2 linked regions of the Ovis aries genome follow. The main gene of each other region encodes a partner of the protein of the gene in region 2 in a complex. Links are inferred from orthologs where the notes say so. Each region holds a gene or a part of one and is shown on either strand. Other genes may lie near its edges.

Region 1 (6,300 bases), on a different chromosome or scaffold from region 2:
CCGTGTTTGGTGTGATTTCTGCCACACCATTGAACTTCATTAAAGCCATTCTTTCCTTTTAATTGCTTTGTCACATTTGAAAATGTCTTAATAGTATATTTTCATACTGTAATATTTAATTAGCGATCAGTATTAAGCTTACCCATACATGTCAGCATCTTCACTTTTTTTTAAAAGTAAAATGTAAAAGACGTGTCTGCTCTTCAGAAGCATGTCATTTAGTTTAAAATAACCTGAGTTACTCACAGATCTTTCTTTGGGGCTCAGGTGTGCAAATAGGTAAGGAGTAGGTCCATATGAACAGGATATACCAAGAAACAAACAACTAGATGTGGGATTGAGGTGTAGTCATTGGGCTCTTCTGACCCTGCCGTCCTCTTAGCATGCTGAAGTCAAGCTGGAATGTCTTCACTTTTACAGAGGTGCCAGAAATAAATCTTCATTAGTCTTTTTTTTTTTTTTTTTAATCTTTCATCACTATCTGAGTCAGAACGCTGCTTAGAGATACAATTTAAATTCTGTTTTTTAACTTGTTTTCAGGCTTATGTACATAAAAGTGTGATGGAGGAACTGAAAAGAATAATTGATGACAGTGAAATTACCAAAGAGGATGATGCTTTGTGGCCTCCTCCTGACCGAGTGGGCCGGCAGGTGAGTGTTTTAGCAGCTACCCACAGTGCAGAAATCTTACAAATAAGATAAAGCTTCCTGCTCTGCATATGACACTGAATGTACTCAGTATGTGTGCGTGTTCTGGAGCCCTGCACCGAGCAGGTCACTGGCACCTTGGTCTAAGGCGGCACGAAGCCCACACGGAGGACCAGGGACAGCAGGTGGAGCTGCGGACCACCTGGAGCCCAGCCCTGAATTTCTTCTTCTGGTCCACCTCCCGCTTCTTGAGAGTATTTGCTACCCACGTTTCTTACTGAGTAACCACTATGGACAAAACACTGTGAAGATAGCAAGATAAATAAAACATAGTCATGTCAACAATGTAATGGAAAGTCATGCCAGCAACTAAGTCTATCTGTAAATTTCTGGCTTAGATATTTATTCTGCAAGCATTGTGGTAATTAAAAAATAAAAGCCACTGTCATATTTGACCAAATTAATAGGAAAGATTCTTCTTTCTACTTTAATGCTGCCTTCCAACTTCTAATTGATTTCACTGTGTCTTCTTTTGTCCTGTAGAGCCCATTTTTTCTTTCCTGGAGTGACAGTAATCTTTTAAAATGTAGATTTGTTTATATATTCCACTGATATTAAACTCTGGCTTCCCACTGCATTTAAAATAAAATCCGAACTCCCAGCTTACCTTCTACCATTTTCGCCATCTCTCACTGGATTTAAATCTCATTGGTCTTATTTCTGTTACTCAGATTCACCTAGGTGCTTCTTCAGTTTAGAACCTTTGTGTCTGCTACATATTGCCTGGAACATTCTATCTGAGACTGTCTGTATTATTGAGGTCTTCAAATGTCACTTCTTCACTGATGTCTTAAGAGCCTATCTAATTTAAAATGCCTTTTCTTATCACTTAAATAAGATCTGGCTTTTGTCTTCATAGCATTCATCATTGTCTGAAATTGTCTTGTTTGGTTTCCCTTATGCGTGATGATGAATATTCTCAAGCATCTAAAAATAATGAACTTGATCTACATATAAAAACTTTGTTGAAAATAAACAAAAACCAAAATAAATTAACAAACCAACTGGAACCACATAGATACAAAAAACAGAGTTGTGGTTATTAGAGGGAAGGGGCTGAGTGTACAAAATTTGTAAAGGGAATCAACTGTATGGTGACAGAAACTTAAATTTTTGGTGGTTAGCCCAGTATAATACAGAAGTAGAAATAGAATATTGTACTTATGTAACAAACCAATTTTAACTCAATATGGAGATTCCCTGGTGATCAGTGGTTAGAACTTGGCGTTTTCACTACCGAGATCCCACAAGCCATGCCCTGTGGCTAAAAACAAAAAACTGCAATGTAATCTAAAACCATGAGTGGAAATACATTCCAACTTCTGGGCAGGCAGGAGAATAGAGTGGGAGGTGGGTCTAAACTATAATATTTGTCTTGAAAAACTGACACAAGTACAAAATATTAACATTTCAAGTCTGAATGTTAAGAAGTAGAACTCAGGGGACTTCCCCTGTGGTCCAGTGGCTAACACTCCATGCTCCCAATTCAGGGGGCCCCGGGTTCGGTCTCTGCTCAGGGACCTAGATCCCACATGCCTCAACTAAAGATCCTGCATGAAGACCAGCACAGCCAAATAAATTAAATAACTATTTTTTAAAAAGAAGTAGAGCTCAATAGGTTGTAAGTTCCACAAGGGCAGAAATCTTTGGTTTTGCTGATCTGTCCCATAGACCCCCCCCAATTCCCCGCCCAATAGATTTTTTTTTTCTTTTTAAGATTGTGGTACTTCTTTCATTCTTTAGAAATTCAGGCCCAAGGGCATACAACTAGTAAGTGAAAAAGCTGGGATTAACTCAAGGTCTGGAATTCCTTTCCTTGTCCAATGTTGCCCTTAAATGTTAGATTCTTGTATTTGTAAAACAGATTTATACATGTTACTCCACCTTGTTAACAATGAAAACTCCTATATGAAACACAAATGTAAATTCTTCCAAATGTGGAGCCTCACAGACACAACTAAGTATAAGCTATTCAAGCACTAAACCAGTATTTAGGTCATACCATTTATCTGTTTCTAGTACCCAGTACAGTCTAGGGCTCAGGTTGGTCTTGGTAATGTGGCCATCTGTATTAGAGTTCATGTGATTTGGAAGATGATGAACCCTTCTCTTGTGTGATGAAAACCAATTCGGATTGATATTTCTTTCAATGTTTCTAGGAGCTTGAAATTGTCATTGGAGACGAACACATTTCTTTCACAACATCAAAAATTGGTTCCCTTATTGATGTCAATCAATCCAAGTAAGTACACATGATCCTTATAGTCTGTTTTCGAGCATGCTGATATGAAACCCATAATCAAATTGAGACTCTTATGGTAAGATAATAATCTGGTACAAATCTAAGAACTGGCCAGCTTTGTCCCCATCAATAGAGAGACTCCCAGATTATCTTCAAGGGCTTGCTCTGTTTGCTTTTGGTGTTTTAGTCAGTCGTCGTCAGTGAGCGCTTCTCAGTGATGCACCCACAGAGTAATGCCATAGGGGCAGCCAAAGTGGGAGAGTCTGGCCAAAACAAAAAGCAACTGCTGGAAATACCTATGAAATCAGTGAGTCTGGGTACCTTCCTCAGTGTTGGTTATTCAGATTGCACATCTTAAAGCCTGACTTTAGTGAAACTTGAAATCATTTAGAATATAAATTTTAAAATTAGTTTTTGCGAGGGTAAATTATTGAGACATGAATACACTATACACAGAATCATTAGAATTTGGCAGCCTCTTTGTCTCTTGTGTTTTGAGGATTTGGGATTAGATATAGTTCACTTTCAGTACATGTTGGGCATAGTTGTCTTCCTATGAACAGTCTCCTGTTCTTACCCACTTATGCTATAGTAAGGTTGAGTGAGTCTCTTGGTCCTGCTTAGCACTACCTCTTAAAAAGGAAGTTTTCCTAATTCTGAAAGTAATATGTGCTTACTGTAGAAAATATAGGAAATACAGAAATGTAGAAAGGTGAAAATCACCCATAAAATTATCAGTTAGATAACCATTAATATTAAAGTATTTCTGTGTTTTTCCTGTGCTTTAAAAAAGTCTTTTAAAGCACAAAAAATGAATTGAGATCAACAGTCTCTTACTTTAATCATGATTTTTTTCTACTTAATATAAGCATTTCCTTCTTTAAAAACCTTAATGTTTTAAATTACTTCTTAATATTCCATTTTAATGTATATAGAATTTTTCTTCTTTTTGGACATTTGGTTGTTTTCAAAGTTTTAATTCTGTAAATACTTCTTACGAGGAATATCCTGGTACGTAAGTAATCTGGGTTATTAAATGGTAATTTTTGCTGAGTTTTTTCAGCTTTTTTAACATCTTTTTCCTCTTGCATTACAGGGATCCAGAAGGCTTACGAGTATTTTATTATCTTGTCCAGGACCTGAAGTGTTTGGTCTTCAGTCTTATTGGATTACACTTCAAGATTAAGCCAATCTAGATGGAACATTGGTGTGGACACAAGGGGGGTGGGAGTGCTGCTTTTAATTACCATTATCTAGACATTTTTGTGTATATCAGGGCAGTATTTTTTTTATAAACTATAAATGATTGTCTTTAATAAATACATAACAAAAAGCAATTTTTTTTTAAATTTTATAAAGACCTGAACATGTGAACTTGTCTCAAATTACTTTTTAACACTAGGTTCTTATGTGAAGTATTGCCAAAAATCTAATCAACTCTGTACATATAACTACCAGTTTATAGGAAGTAAAAGATTAGAGAAACATGCTAAAAAATAACTGGAAATCCAATCAGTAACCAGAGGAAACTCCAGGATAAGTGATCTGATTTCTTAAAAAAAAAATAAGCTGCAAACATAAATGGAGATGGAGTGGGAATGTTAAAGAAGATTTGAGAGACATATAATCACATAATCAATACAATGTTCGAACCCTGCTTGGATCATGATTCAGGAAATGTAAAGTTGCCATCAGTAGGAAAATTTAAATACTCCATATTTGGTATTAATGAAATGTTAATTTTTTAGGGAGTAAAGTGGTATGGTTGATATTTTGATTTTTTTCATCTAGCTTTACTGAGGTATAATTGAGGTTGGAGGGTTTTTTGGTTTTTTCACTTATTTTTATTTTTGGCTGTGCTAGTCTTCGTTGCTGCTCGGGCTTTTCTGTAGTTGTGGAGAGCAGGGGCTACTCTTGTATCGCTGGGCTTCTCACTGTGCTGGTTTTTCTTGTGGAGAATGAACTCTAGGGCACAGGCTTAGCAGTTGTGGCACATGGGCTCAGTAGTTGTGATTTCTGGGCTCTAGAGCACAGGCTCAGTAGTGGTGGTGCATGGGCCTAGTTGCTCTGCAGCATGTTGGATCCCCAGACCAGGGTTCAAACCCATGTCTCCTGCATTAGCAGGTGGATTCTTTACCACTGAGCCACCAGGGAAGCTGGAAGTTGGAGTTTTAAAAATCACTTTTAAAGATACATCTGAAACTTTCACTATGGGGATGTATACTTGGTTTAATATATTCTAAAGTGGCTAGTCTCAAAATCTTTCCAATAATTCATTTTAAAGTCAGAATTCTAACAGCCATTTAAGAAGCACCTAGTTGGTATAGATAGTGGGATTTGTTCAGCAGGTAGATCTGCAGGAAATTTTTCTTGCTACTAGGTTGCATGGCTTCCTTAGGCAAACTGCTGACTAAACAGATAGTGGGCACCGTCTTGCTAAATCTCATTTGATTGAGGGGAGGTGATAAAGCTAAGCTCAACATTTCTCCAGTGGCCAACTTGGGACAGGTCCCAAATAGTCCTGAGCAAGTGTTTCCCCAACACATGCCCTACTTTGACTCCAAAGATCACAGACACACACACCCTACTCTGCCTCCTTCATACACACACCCTACTTTGCCTCCTTCACACACACACACATGCCCCTACTTTGCCTCCTTCAAAGATCACAGGGTCCCAGGACTTCCCTGGTGGTCTAGCACCTGGCACCGCAGGGGACATGAGTTAAATCTCTGATCTGGGAAGATTTCTACATGTTGCGGAGCAACTAAGCGCATGTGCCAACAACTAATGAGTCCTAGAGACTAGCTTCTGTTTGCTGCAACTAGAGAAAGCCCATCTGCAGCAATGAAGACCCAGCACAGCCAAAAATAAATACCGGGGAGAAAAAAAGATCACAGGGTCCCAAAGATACACACACACACACACCCTACTTTGCCTCCTCCAAAGATCACGGGGGGCGGGGGGGGGAATGGAAAAAGGGCAGCAAGTTAGCTGCCGATCTGGGACCTGAGATGTAGGGGTTCTGTCTGCAGTGCACCCTCTGCTATTGAAGGGTACCTGGCGGCAATCAGGTAAGTTTGTGGCAAAGTAGACATCAAAAGAGTCGCTCCAAATTTTAAACAGTCTAGACCTCAGGAGGCTATAAAAGCCTCAAACAGGCTGTTCTTTGTAATGCTTACAGCTCCTGTATGGTCTCAGAGGAGCCCTGGACAAAAGCACAGGTTGAGTGAATGTATGCTAGAGCAAACCGGGAACCCAGAGAAGAGTAAGCTGAAGGGGAGTGCCCAGTCTTGCGGACCACCGGCAGGACATGCACACGAGACAACCCTCCGAAAGGTCCCCTGGGT
Region 2 (6,725 bases):
AGGATAAAGAAAATGAAGTATATACATACAATGGAAAAGGAAATTCTGACACATGCTATAACATGGATTAACCTTGAGGACAATATGCTAATTAAAATAAGCCAGTCACTAAAAGTCAAATACTATTATTCCATTTATATGAGACACCTAGAATGGTCAACTTAATAAGAATAGTGGTTCAAAGAGGCAGAATGTATTAACAGCTAGCTGTCAGAGGCTTGGGGCAGGGAGAAATGGGGAGTTGTTTAATGGGCAGAGTTTCAGTCTTACAAGATGAAGAAGTTCTAGAGATTAGCTGCAGAACAATGTGAATGTACTCAGCACTACTGAACTGCACACTTAAAAATGGTTAAGATGATAAATTTTATTTATGTGTATTTTACCATAATTTTTAATAATGTCAAAAACCAAAAAAAAGCAATGAGATAATGATACATACTATAACATGGATGAATCTTGAAAACATGCTAAGTAAAAGAGGTAGTCACAAAAGGCCATATATTATATGATTTAGTTCATATGAAATGTTCAGAATAAGGAAATCCATAGTTAGTAGATTAGCCGTTGCCAGGGGCTGGGGGAGAGGAGAATGGTAGATGACTGCTAATGAATACAGGATTCTTTTTGAAGTGATGAAAACATTCTGGAATTACCCAGTGGTGATAGTTATAAACCTCTGTGAATATACTAAAAACCACTGAATTTTATGGTATGAGTTATATCTCAATAATAATTTTTTAAAAACCTAAGTGACTACTGGAAAAATACATCAAATCCTTGCTATAGAATAATGTAATAGAAGGTATAAAATACCATCTTTACACCTTTGGTGTGTAAACATAAGCCAGGATAAATTACTAGAACTGACCATTAGATATCACAAAGCAGTCACAGAGGAAACAAGATTTTAGAAATCCTAGTGAGTGCAGAATCATATTACCTTAATAACTGATATACCTGAAAAGGAATAGATAAACCAGACCGAAGCAAAAGGAAATTGTGGAATATAGGCAAAAAAAAAAAAAATTAGAAGTGAGGCCAAACAATGGGAGATGACTGCTAATGAATACAGGATTCTTTCTGAAGTGATGAAAACATTTTGTCTACCTAAGGAATTTGGACTTTTTTCCCACAACTGCTGTCTTAAGTCACTATCTTCAAAAAGATTATTTTCATGGCAAAGTAAGACTAAATTATACAGAAAATGGAAAATTCTATAAGTTTAGAGAGAGTGGTTGTCTAAGCATTAGGTGATGAGGACATGTGAAAGTATCAGTAAGTCTAACGTCCTCAGTCTAGATGAACAAGATATTAAAAAGCAATAAATTGACAAAATCCATCACTTGTTTAAATGTAAGGGATAAAGAGAGGAAAAAGTTAAACACAACTCAGATTTTCAGGAAACCATTTGCTATCTACTGGAATAAATTTGTGGAGCAGAAAAGTAGCTGGTTTGGGGGGATTAATAAAAACTGGACAAACATAGAGGCAATTCTTCAACTTTTACTGGCATATTCCCTGACAAAGATTTCATTTTTTACCAACTCTGAAGTAATATTGAAAAAATATAATCTAACAAAAACACACATCATTCAATATTGCATAGCCAAAAGAAAAGTAGCAAACTTAGTAGCAAAAGTAGCCAGACTTGGACATTCTCTGGCTAAATGTTGCAAGCAACAAATAATAAAATGAGGGTTAATGCAGAAGTTTTTCTTCCCTATAAACTCCTGGATAGGAAGTGGGAAATCATCAAGCTCAGTGGTTTAATTACATACAACTTAGAATGTTAAACAGTACTCCAACTGGCAACTATTGACATAAAGGATCTGAATTAAATAAGTATTGGTCCTTGAAGCAAGATGAGAAGTAAATATTTAAAACTTGTCATACAAGTTTAAAGAGTCACTTGTCAGTATCACTTAAAACTAGTAAATACTCAAGACAACGGATCACCTAAAACAGGGCAAAAGAACTGTCACAGGAGGAGAAAACAGTGGCAATTTCCTTTGGTTGACAAACTAGAGAAATAATAGGTTAATACAAATACCTGTAAAACCTCATATTATCTATTTATAAGGCTGTCATAAGCTTATCAAATGCATAAAACTCTTTAAATGTTGCTCATCTTATCACTCAGGATTTCAGAAACACTATGAAGGCATCAAGAGAACAGGGATACACTGTCTTAAACAAATGACAAACTCCCCTTCAGTTAAAAGGACTCACCTTTATTGTCAAGGAATACATAACCATCAAAACGATCCCTGAACAAAATAATGTCCTCTTGGTTTTTAAAGTTGATGTATGCTCTTGCATACATATGAGGATACAAACTGCAGGAAGGAAAGCAATTATGTGAATGTGCTTGCAGGTGTCTGGCTGAATTACAAGTATGCATATATTAAAAAGGCTCAAAAATAAAATAGAAATCATGAGTAGGATTAAAAAAAAGAATGGAAGAAACCTTTTTCATTTACCCCTCCCTCTTATTTTACCTAGTATCATTAGAAAAAAACTCAAAATAATCATGCTCAGGCATAGGCTGAAGATGTTCCTGAAGCTGCTCCTTGGTCAAAGTGGGCGGTAATCTCCGAATTACCACCTTAAGAAATGAATAAGGAAAATAAAATTAGTACAAATCAATTTTCTGTCATACCTGAATCACTGTTCCTGAAGAAAGTTGGCCTTTAAAAGATGAGATCACTTCTAAAAACCCAAGAGAATGTTCAGAACGCTCAGAACGATTAGTCAAACGTTAACAGTAACATAGTTTAAAAAAAAAAAAAAAAAAAAACTCTCAGAAACGAGAACTGCCTGGAGCAAGGAAATCTTAGGTTCTGTTAACCCGAAGCCCCACGGTTTACTAGGTTTTCGCCTCATTTTCTGTCACCCATTTTTCAGTAGTGGTAAGAAATTTGTAAACCAACCCTGGTCTTTTGTGGGTGCCAGGAATTCTTGATTGATAAAGTCCTTATTCAGTCAGCATAAAGAATTCAAAATTCTAAGAAATACCCCCAATTCCCTCACTGCTCCCCGAACAGAATGTACCCGATTTGGCCCAAGACCATTAATAGCCGCCACCCACCCATTCCCTCAACTAACCTGTTAATATTCCTATCACGTACTACTCCCGCTGGTGATAGCACCTTTCTGTTTAATAATTCCCCCTCAATTCCTCATCCTTTTCGCTATCGCCCCCCCCTCCCATCATCATCTCACGGCTCTGACCTAAACCCTTCCAGTCAGGGAATCCCCCCGCCCTCCCTCACTCCCATCCCGGAGCTCTGCCGGGAAGGGAACCCCCATTTTGGGAGAGTGGATGAGACAGGGTGATGCGATTTTCACTCAAGTGAAGAAACAGAGGAAGAGATTGGGAGAGGAAGAGGGCAGCCCCATTCCCAACCATCTTTCTCGGGTGGTGGAACCGTCCCGCCCTCTCCTGGGCCAACAGCCGGCCAGACACCTTGCTCAACGCCTCTTTCTTCTCCTTGTTCCGATCCTGCTTATCTTCCCCTTTGGTGCTGTCTCCCGAAGCCCCACCGCCGCTGCCTGTAGCACCTGGAGGAGTCAAGAGGGTTACTCGCTTCTCCTTAGGCCTGTGCTCCTTCTCCTCCTTCATGGCCACAGCTTCGCTCCTCACCGCGGTAGCTCGGCCTAAACGCCGCTACGCCGGGCACCTACGCCTCCCGGCCCGCTCAGGGCAGAGCTCCGCCCCCAACAAGCTCTCCTAGTGATAAGCCGACCCCAACGCTCCATTGGGCCCCGGCAGGATCTCGCGAGACTTCAGGGCATCCGGCTTCCTTCGCTGGAAAGGTTGTAACACCTGGTCTTAGCTTCCCTCCCGCGGAATCCCCGCATCGCCCAATCCCCTCGCGGCCCAGACTCCCTCGGGGCCGCTCATTAGCATATCCGCCATCTTGGTTAGGACGAGTATTTCACGGACTACAAATCCCGGCATTCAAAGCGGTTACCCGCTTCTGGCTGAGTTCTGAAGTCGTAGTATTTCAGGTTCCCTGTTTATAAGTAAATGGAAAGTTTAATCTTGAAAGGTTAATGTTTTTCAGATCGAAAGATACACTCTAAAAAAAAAAAAGAAAGATACACTCTGTGGGCTTCGTTTTCCAGAGATAAAATCGATGTTATCCAAAGTTTACCTCACGAACGACTTGTATTTTCTATTATTGGTTGTAAAGTGAGCTTTCAGAACCTTTAGAATTTCTTTTCCTTATATTTTTTAGGATTCACAGACACTCAATGCACAAAACACTGACATTTAAAGGAGTATTATGACCAAAATGTGTGAGATTTGTTTTCACCGCTCTTTTTAAAAGTTAATAGGAATCTATCATGGTACTGATGCCCTGTAGGTAGGAGAAAATAAAATCCAACTCACTTTAGATAGGATTGACCTCCTTCCAGCTTTTAAAAAGGCCAGTTATGCATTATTTATAATATCTCCAAACTGGAACAACCCAAATGTCTGTCAATCCACTAATGCATAAACAAAATGTGGCACATCCATAGAATGAAATACTGCTGCTGCTGCTGCTAAGTCGCTTCAGTCGTGTCCGACTCTGTGCGACCCCATGGATGGCAGCCCACCAGGCTCCCCCGTCCCTGGGATTCTCCCGGCAAGAACACTGGAGTGGGTTGCCATTTCCTTCTCCAATGCATGAAAGTGAAAAGGGAAAGTGAAGTCACTCAGTGGTGTCTGACTCTTCCTGACCCCATGGACTGCCGCCCACCAGGCTCCTCCGTCCATGGGACTTTCCAGGCAAGAGTACTGGAGTGGGGTGCCATTGCCTTCTCTGGAATGAAATACTACTTAATTACAAATGAACCCATCCATCCATCCACATGAATGAATCTCAAAATGGTCATGCTGAGTGAAAGAAACAGAACACAAAGAGTACATGCTGTATGATCTCATTGATACGAAATTCCAGACAAGGTAAAACTAGTGAGAGAAAATTCTTAAAGAGATAGGAATACCAGACCACCTGACCTGCCTCTTGAGAAATCTGCATGCGGGTCAGGAAGCAACAATTAGAACTGGAATCGAACAACAGACTGGTTCCAAATTGGGAAAGGAGTAGTCAAAGCTGTATATTGTCACCTTGCTTATTTAACTTATATGAAAACTACATCATGAGAAACACTGGGCTGGATGAACCACAAGCTGGAATCAAGATTGCCGGGAGAAATATCAATAACCTCAGATATGCAGATGACACAACCCTTATGCCAGAAAGCAAAGAAAGAGCCTCTTGACTGATGAAAGTGAAAGAAGAGAGTGAAAAAGTTGGCTTAAAACTCAACATTTAGAAAACTAAGATCATGGCATCTGGTCCCATCACTTCATGGTAAATAGATGGGGAAACAATGGAAACAGTGACAGGCTTTATTTTGGGGGGCTCCAAAATCACTGCAGATGGTGACTACAGCCATGAAATTAAAAGACACTTGCTCCTTGGAAGAAAAGCTATGACCAACCTAGACAGCATATTAAAAAGCAGAGACATTACTTTGCCCACAAAGGTCCATCTAGTCAAGGCTATGTTTTTTCCAGTAGGCATGTGTGGATATGAGAGTTGGACTATACAGAAACCTGAGCTCTGAAGAATTGATGCTTTTGAACTGTGGTGTTGGAGAAGACTCTTGAGAGTCCCTTGGACTGCAAGGAGATCCAACCAGTCCATCCTAAAGGAGATCAGTCCTGAATACTCATTGGAAGAACTGATGCTGAAGCTGAAACTCCAATACTTTGGCCACCTGATGTGAAGAACTGACTCACTGGAAAAGACCCTGATGCTGGGAAAGATTGAAGGTGGGAGGAGACAGGGACGGCAGAGGATGAGATGGTTGGATGGTATTACCGACTCAATGGACATGAGTTTGAGTAAACTCTGGGAGTTGGTGATGGACAGGGAGGCCTGGTGTGCTGCAGTTCATGAGGTCGCAAAGAGTGGGACACGACTGACCAACTGAACTGAACTGAGTGAGAGAAGGGCTTCCCAGGTGGCGCTAGTGGTAAAGAACCCATCTGCCAATGCAGGAGATTGAAGAGATGGGGTTCAGTCCCGGGAAGATCCTCTGGAGGAGGACATGGCAACCCACTCCAGTATTCTTGCCTGGAGAATTCCTTGTACAGAGGAGCCTGGCAGGCTACAGTCCATGGGGTTTCAGAGTCCTGACTCGACCGAAGCCATTTTAGCATGCACACAAGCAGATCAGTGATAGCCAGGGGCAGGGTTGGGGAGAAGGGAGGGACTGCAGAGGGGCTTCAGGAAACATTTCGGAATAATAAAAAATATATTTTTTTATCATGACTGTGGTGGTGGTTGCATTTGTGTAAACTCATTGAATTGTACACAAAATTGCCAAATGTTATTTTATGTAAATTATTTTTCGAAGATCAGCCCCTGAAATGAAAAGAAATGCAAAATTTGAAAAATGTTGCTCTGCAAAAGTCCCAGAAGGCTCCTTAGGAGAACGGAATGGAAGACCCATGTGTCTCCTCCCAACCCAAGAAAAAGAAATCTTTTTGCATGGAGGAGCTAGTTAGTAGTGATCTTGAAGAGACAGCTGATGGTGGAAGTTGTTCCAAGAGGAAGAACTCTTTCCCCAAAGAGGAAGCAGTTAGTGACCCTGAGGAGTCAGGAAAGAAGAGAGTCCCCAAGATAAAGAGGAAATTCTCTTTCAAGGAGGAGCCACTCAACCAT

What was found. Proteins that work in one complex are often made in the same cells at the same time.
Region 1: UPF3B (region 2) and MAGOH share a complex: the UniProt entries of both Homo sapiens proteins name them as parts of the mRNA splicing-dependent exon junction complex. The link is inferred for Ovis aries from reciprocal best matches to the Homo sapiens genes UPF3B and MAGOH.

What each region holds. Positions count from the first base shown.
Region 1 is NC_056054.1:27,766,241-27,772,540, reverse strand, and holds the end of MAGOH (protein mago nashi homolog), read left to right. Parts: intron 1-540; coding exon 541-651; intron 652-2,867; coding exon 2,868-2,950; intron 2,951-4,046; coding exon 4,047-4,146; 3' UTR 4,147-4,287; downstream 4,288-6,300. UniProt on the Homo sapiens protein: Required for pre-mRNA splicing as component of the spliceosome. Plays a redundant role with MAGOHB as core component of the exon junction complex (EJC) and in the nonsense-mediated decay (NMD) pathway.
Region 2 is NC_056080.1:114,666,153-114,672,877, reverse strand, and holds the start of UPF3B (regulator of nonsense transcripts 3B), read right to left. Parts: upstream 3,723-6,725; 5' UTR 3,623-3,722; coding exon 3,467-3,622; intron 2,710-3,466; exon of another isoform or gene 2,660-2,709; intron 2,606-2,659; coding exon 2,499-2,605; intron 2,337-2,498; coding exon 2,230-2,336; intron 1-2,229. UniProt on the Homo sapiens protein: Involved in nonsense-mediated decay (NMD) of mRNAs containing premature stop codons by associating with the nuclear exon junction complex (EJC) and serving as link between the EJC core and NMD machinery.